2 linked regions of the Drosophila melanogaster genome follow. The protein of the gene in region 1 interacts with the protein of each later gene in a biochemical or structural test. Each region holds a gene or a part of one and is shown in the gene's direction. Other genes may lie near its edges.

Region 1 (3,537 bases):
TCATTTCATTCATTTCATTCATTTCATTCATTCATTTATATCATTCATTCATTTCATTCATATCATTCATTCATTTCATTCATTCATTTTCACTGTGGAGTTTCTATCGATATGCCAGAAGAAAGATGCTAGTTCGTTCACCCTGACACTAGCTGAGTAACGAGAGTATCTGATAGTCGGGGAACTCGAATATAGCATTCTCTTTTGTTAAAGAGTAAGTTCGGTTAACATAAGTTAAACTATGTAGTAATTGATCGAAAACGGGTACCTCAACAAATTACCTTTAATTTATTAAAATGATTTAAACCATTATTAACCTCCCGACAGAAATCTAGGTGTTTGTTATTTTTCAGGAGGTGAGAATACATTTTTTAGAAGGTTTCCTTTCCCATTTGCTGAATAAGACACATTACTGTTGAATCAGTAATAGGTCAAAACCACAATGAAACATAATAAAAGTAATATCCAAACTGAAATTTATTTCGCATACTTCTTAGGCATTGCTAATAACCCAGGAGCGGAGGGCAGCAACATCGGCATAGACACCGGGGTAGTTGGAGTAAGCGCATCCGTATCCCCAGGAGACAACACCGACGAGGACTCCGCCGGAGACCAGTGGGCCACCGGAGTCACCCTGGCAGGCATCCTTGCCGCTGGCAGCAGCGCAGATCATGGTGCTGCGGATCTGGCTACCGTATCCGTAGGTGGAGGAAGCACACTGGCTCTGGCTAACGATGTTCACGTTCACGTACTGCAGCTGGGAGGGGATGGAGCTGGATCCGTAGGAGAGAGTGCCCCATCCGGAGACGGAGGCCGCAGCGCCGTTGGCGGGGTTGGAGCTAGCCAGACCGATGGCCTTGATGGTGGAGCTGAAGGTCAGGGCGCCGTTGATCTTGATGATGGCAATGTCGTTGACCATGGTGTTGGCGTTGTAGCCCTCGTGGTTCTTGAAGGAGGACACAGAGAAGGTGACACCGCCGGAGCTCCAGTAGCTGGATCCAGCACGGATCTGCAGGACGGAAGCGGACACGGACTGCAGACAGTGAGCGGCGGTCACGATGACGTTGCTGGAGTAGATGGATCCACCGCAGGAGTGGCTTCCACTGCGCTGCAGGGAGATCTGCCAGGGGAAGCTGCTGATGGTGGTAGCAGAGCCGCCGACAATGCGGCCATCCAACTGAGGCAGGAGTCCCTCAGGGACGGTGCCTCCCAGGGCGCAGGCTACTGCAGACAACAAGATCACGAACTTCAGCATGGTGCGAATCCAATGAGTTGACTCTAAACTGGACACCCCTTTTATACAGGGACCTATCTCTTTGTGGCGCTCTTATCATAAATTTCAATTATTTTTATCACTTGCTTGTCAGGGAAATCCAAAATATTTTTTAAATGTGTGACCGACAAATAGATTTCGCGAATAAGAAGTATATACGTATACAAAGTCCAGATTCATGCCAAACGATTTTTTTTTGCAATAAGTTGGTCATTTAAATAGCTTGAAAAAGATAGTCACATAAAGATATCGGGGTTTAAACGAAATTAAAACAATTTATATTTCTATAAACAATTTATTGTGTTTTAAATAAACAGACACCATAATTTTTTAAAAGAAATTATATAACTTATGAGAAACATCATGAGCATTACTAGAAAACAATGCAATTGAACGCATAATCATGTAATTAAAATTAATGCAAAGGCGATTAAATTGTTCTTAAAATTAATGGTTTTACAAAATTCACAAATTAAAATGCTAAACAGTTATTTTCTTTTAAAAAGCCAATAATATTAATAGTTATGCACACAATTATGTATAATAATTGGATTAGATTAGAACTAAATCAAGTTGAATGACAAGCATCCACTTTTAAAAAATTCCACAATGTTATTGTACAAGTTTAATCCCCTATTTAAATATGTAAGTCGAAAAAAGACGTTCCCATCAATACCTTGCAAATTAAATATAATAAAAAGAACGCGAATTATTTAGAAAGGTAATATAAAAGTAGTTACACTTTCCTTGCATTTTTATTTATTTTTGTGATAAAGAGCCGTGCGACTTCTGAGTTGTGGAATATCATTTGGGCACTTCAACGGTATTATTTGGGTTTTCCTGACACGCAGGTGATAAAAATAATTGAAAGTTGTGATTATAGTGCCAAGAACAGATTGGAAACTCGTATAAAAGGGGTGTCCAGTTTAGAGTCAACTCATTGGATTCGCACCATGCTGAAGTTCGTGATCTTGTTGTCTGCAGTAGCCTGCGCCCTGGGAGGCACCGTCCCTGAGGGACTCCTGCCTCAGTTGGATGGCCGCATTGTCGGCGGCTCTGCTACCACCATCAGCAGCTTCCCCTGGCAGATCTCCCTGCAGCGCAGTGGAAGCCACTCCTGCGGTGGATCCATCTACTCCAGCAACGTCATCGTGACCGCCGCTCACTGTCTGCAGTCCGTGTCCGCTTCCGTCCTGCAGATCCGTGCTGGATCCAGCTACTGGAGCTCCGGCGGTGTCACCTTCTCTGTGTCCTCCTTCAAGAACCACGAGGGCTACAACGCCAACACCATGGTCAACGACATTGCCATCATCAAGATCAACGGCGCCCTGACCTTCAGCTCCACCATCAAGGCCATCGGTCTGGCTAGCTCCAACCCCGCCAACGGCGCTGCGGCCTCCGTCTCCGGATGGGGCACTCTCTCCTACGGATCCAGCTCCATCCCCTCCCAGCTGCAGTACGTGAACGTGAACATCGTTAGCCAGAGCCAGTGTGCTTCCTCCACCTACGGATACGGTAGCCAGATCCGCAGCACCATGATCTGCGCTGCTGCCAGCGGCAAGGATGCCTGCCAGGGTGACTCCGGTGGCCCACTGGTCTCCGGCGGAGTCCTCGTCGGTGTTGTCTCCTGGGGATACGGATGCGCTTACTCCAACTACCCCGGTGTCTATGCCGATGTTGCTGCCCTCCGCTCCTGGGTTATTAGCAATGCCTAAGAAGTATGCGAAATAAATTTCAGTTTGGATATTACTTTTATTATGTTTCATTGTGGTTTTGACCTATTACTGATTCAACAGTAATGTGTCTTATTCAGCAAATGGGAAAGGAAACCTTCTAAAAAATGTATTCTCACCTCCTGAAAAATAACAAACACCTAGATTTCTGTCGGGAGGTTAATAATGGTTTAAATCATTTTAATAAATTAAAGGTAATTTGTTGAGGTACCCGTTTTCGATCAATTACTACATAGTTTAACTTATGTTAACCGAACTTACTCTTTAACAAAAGAGAATGCTATATTCGAGTTCCCCGACTATCAGATACTCTCGTTACTCAGCTAGTGTCAGGGTGAACGAACTAGCATCTTTCTTCTGGCATATCGATAGAAACTCCACAGTGAAAATGAATGAATGAAATGAATGAATGATATGAATGAAATGAATGAATGATATAAATGAATGAATGAAATGAATGAAATGAATGAAATGAATGAAATGAATGAAATGAATGAAATGAATGAAATGAATGAAATGAATGAAATGAAT
Region 2 (4,122 bases), on another chromosome or scaffold:
CATATTGGATGTTTCCGAGAAGTGTGCAGATCTGATAGTATCCTGCATATTTCATCAACAAAGGATACCCTGCACTGACATCTTTAGAGAAACTTTCGTGGATGAAGGATTGTGCTGCATATTTAATGTCTTGCATCCGTATTATCTTTATAAGTTCAAGTAGGGTTCAACGAAGGTCAAAAGAACGAATAACTTACTTACTCATTTAAAGATCGCCCTACATTCGGGACTTCACTTCGTCCGACAGGTTTGCAGATATCGCCGTGGACTGGGATCCAATATCTGGCTACCCACAGAGACTACCCTCAAGTTACTATCCGCGTCCGGGAGTTGGAGTTGGTACCTCGATGGGTCTGCAAATCGTTCTCAACGGTCACGTGGACGACTATTTCTGCTCCTCCACAAACGGACAGGGCTTTAAGGTAAGTTGTGTTGTACGCTTTTTGCCCAGCTAGCTTATACCTTTCAGATACCTTTCAGATACTCCTGTATAATCCGATAGACCAGCCGCGCATGAAGGAGTCAGGATTACCTGTGATGATTGGGCACCAGACGAGTTTTCGCATCATAGCTAGAAACGTTGAGGCTACACCCTCTATAAGGAATATTCACAGGACGAAACGCCAGTGTATTTTTAGTGACGAACAGGAATTACTCTTCTATCGCTACTATACGCGCCGAAACTGCGAGGCCGAGTGCGACTCCATGTTTTTCCTGAGACTTTGCAGTTGTATTCCCTACTACCTACCACTAATTTATCCCAACGCCTCAGTGTGCGATGTGTTCCACTTTGAATGTCTGAATCGGGCAGAGTCCCAGATCTTCGACCTACAGAGCTCTCAGTGCAAGGAGTTTTGCCTGACCAGCTGCCACGACCTAATTTTCTTTCCCGATGCATTTTCCACTCCATTCAGCCAAAAGGACGTCAAGGCACAGACCAACTACTTGACGAATTTCTCAAGTGAATACATGCGCAAAAACTTGGCGGTAGTAAACTTTTTTCACACCGACAACTATTTCAGGAGCAGTGTAAGGACTTCGTATACCGGACCCACTGAATATATGGGTATGCTATTTATTAAATTTTTTAGATCTTAAATACTTTCTACGTTATTGTTATATCGTTACTAGAACAGTAATTGCAATTCCGATAATATTCCGAGTCTATCAGGGATGCCCGTCCGTCTGATAGTATAAACGTCCATGTTTTTTTTTTTTTAACTCGAGGGGGTATTTTAAGTCGATTAATAAAAACAGTCCATGTAGTGACGATGTTCACCCGGAGTGTAATGCACAATAAGAGAGTGTGTAATGCACAATCTGCTTAAAAAATCCAAATATTACCGTTTATCAGAAGGTATTTTTATGCTCAAAGTTGCATACTTAGGAGTTAATTTATTTGATACAAATCAAATATTACTATTTGTCGTTACATAACGTATGTAACTCGTCACCTCGTAAGGAAATATTTTTGCTTGATTTTGCCTAGTACCATACAAAAGAGCTTCAGGCTTATCCAAAATTGATAAAAACAAATTATACAACTTTTATATAGAGATGGTTTTAGAATTCAAGGCAGTTGACTAAAGCGTTGTATCTTCCTTGTATCTTTTCCAGCGTCAACTGGTGGAATCATGAGCCTAATGATTGGTTTCAGTGTAATATTCCTTGCGGAGATAATATACATCATTTTGTTTGTTTCAACATTGTTGCTTATATTAATATTCTGAATTAGTAAATAAAATAAACAACTTTAAATGTGTTACATAATCTAAATTACTTTTCCACAGGACTAACATTAAATAATGGACTGGTGTAGAAAAATGTAAAAGAATGTACATATGTAAATATAATCAAACAAAAATATCGCACAACGGTCATACAAATCCGATATTTTAATGCCGATAGTTCAGGCAGCACAGCACCTGGCAACCCTGGGGAATTACAGTTCAGTGGCAAAGTGACAAGCAAAAATACGAAAATGGTTCTGGAGAGTACTATGATATGGTAAATTATTGTTTTTTGAGCAATACGAAGAGCTTCCGCTAGTTTTCCCGTACTGCTTGCAACGGCACACAGTCTGGCACTCATATTTTGCTCTTTTCCAGCTTTGATAACAGCGACTTCCAGCGCAACGGAGACTACTTTCCAACTCGTCTCATCGTCCAGAGAGATGGCATCAATCTGGTCTGCCTGACCAAGCTGCGTTCCAATCCCGAGAACAATGTGGGCCTGATGACTCTGTCCAAGTGAGTGTGGAGCGTTTGTGCCCATGCCACATATTCATTATGTCTTTGTTTATACCTCAGCACCGTTGAAGTGCTGGCCACTCTTACTAGCGATGCAGGACGGATTTTCTCAAAGATGCATCTGGTTCAGCCGAAGGGCGAGATAAACCTCCTGACCGGAATCCGAATTGCCCATCTGGTGCTGAAGCATCGCCAAGGCAAGAACCACAAAATGCGCATCGTGGTCTTTGTGGGCTCCCCCATCAATCACGAGGAGGGCGATCTAGTGAAGCAGGCCAAGCGCCTCAAGAAGGAGAAGGTCAACGTAGACATAGTTAGCTTCGGTGATCATGGCAACAACAACGAGATTCTCACAGCATTCATCAACGCGCTTAATGGCAAGGACGGCACCGGCTCCCATTTGGTCAGCGTGCCTCGGGGATCAGTTTTGTCGGATGCCCTGCTGTCGTCACCCATCATTCAGGGCGAGGACGGCATGGGCGGAGCTGGCCTGGGCGGCAACGTCTTCGAATTCGGTGTAGATCCCAACGAGGACCCCGAACTGGCTCTCGCCTTGCGTGTGTCTATGGAGGAGCAACGGCAGCGCCAGGAGAGCGAGCAACGTCGCGCCAATCCCGATGGGGCTCCACCGACTGGCGGAGATGCTGGTGGCGGAGGCGGCGTTTCGGGATCTGGACCTGGAAACGAAGAAAGTGCCGGAGCAGAGAACGAAGCCAACACCGAGGAGGCCATGCTGCAGCGTGCCCTGGCCCTGTCCACCGAAACACCCGAGGACAACTTGCCGGACTTTGCTAACATGACTGAGGAGGAACAGATTGCCTTCGCTATGCAGATGTCCATGCAGGACGCTCCCGACGACTCTGTTACCCAGCAAGCAAAGCGCCCAAAGACGGACGAGGCAAACGCTCCCATGGACGTGGACGAGGATTACTCGGAGGTGATCGGAGACCCGGCCTTCTTGCAGAGCGTGCTGGAGAATCTGCCTGGTGTTGATCCCCAGTCGGAGGCGGTGCGCGATGCTGTCGGTTCACTCAACAAGGACAAGGACAAAAAGAGCGACGGCAAGGACTCGCAAAAAAAATAAACCGCATCTATGATTATATCTAATAAGCTCGTTTAAAGCATTTGTATGCCCATTAAAATCATTTGTAGCCGTCTTTCAAATTATGCTTCAAGTGAAAATATATAAACAAATACACACGATCTGCTGCTGACTTAATTGACTGCGAGGGTCTTTTCATTCACTGCATGTCTAGTAAAAATAATTTTCTAGTCCTGATAGTGGCCGGTCGACTCGGGTAAGCATGTTTATTAGGGAAGCATATGCATAATGCTTCTTCTATCTGTCACTCACGACTCTAGTTAAAGTAAATAAATTGGATTCTGTACTTAAAGTAAATGAACTTGAGCTCATTGGCCAGTTTTTGAAGTTAAACACGGAAGAATTTAAAACATCAAGGATTCCGCCCGCCTCTTTTAGAGTCCACTTTACACCTGGCATACTGCGTTTTATACAATGTCAGTACCATATATCAGACACACGTTTATTTACAGCTGGACCATAGATAAATAATAAAATCAGTTTGTGGCTCAATGCACTATAGTTTATTTCCCCGTAACAGGGGCACTATTGATATATTGATGCTCTCTACTTTACAAGCGTATTAACTATGTGTGGTCTCGTATGCAGATTACTTGTCGCCCTTGTAGTCCCGGATGTGGTAGAGCACCCAGGCGGGAATGAACAAGGATGCAGCGCACATGCCGCCGCCGAGGATCACCTTCTCCTGTAATGCAAAAAGTGAAGGATCAGTTTTTCGCTTTGGGAATCACATCCTGGTTATGCAACAAGCTCAAACTTACGGCGGTGGAG

Evidence for each region.
Region 2: of the proteins of CG30031 (region 1) and Rpn10, one has a biochemical effect on the other in vitro, tested with the Drosophila melanogaster proteins (one study listed by BioGRID).

The regions. Positions count from the first base shown.
Region 1 is NT_033778.4:11,348,601-11,352,137, forward strand, and holds CG30031 (uncharacterized protein), read left to right. Parts: upstream 1-2,210; 5' UTR 2,211-2,226; coding exon 2,227-2,988; 3' UTR 2,989-3,021; downstream 3,022-3,537. Other genes in the region: gammaTry (gammaTrypsin), read right to left, coding at 494-1,255.
Region 2 is NT_037436.4:21,535,132-21,539,253, forward strand, and holds Rpn10 (regulatory particle non-ATPase 10), read left to right. Parts: upstream 1-1,868; 5' UTR 1,869-1,981; coding exon 1,982-2,007; intron 2,008-2,108; coding exon 2,109-2,249; intron 2,250-2,309; coding exon 2,310-3,333; 3' UTR 3,334-3,451; downstream 3,452-4,122. Other genes in the region: ppk5 (pickpocket 5), read left to right, coding at 1-159, 212-422, 481-1,066, 1,618-1,730; COX8 (cytochrome c oxidase subunit 8), read right to left, coding at 3,941-4,036, 4,113-4,122. UniProt on the Drosophila melanogaster protein: Binds and presumably selects ubiquitin-conjugates for destruction.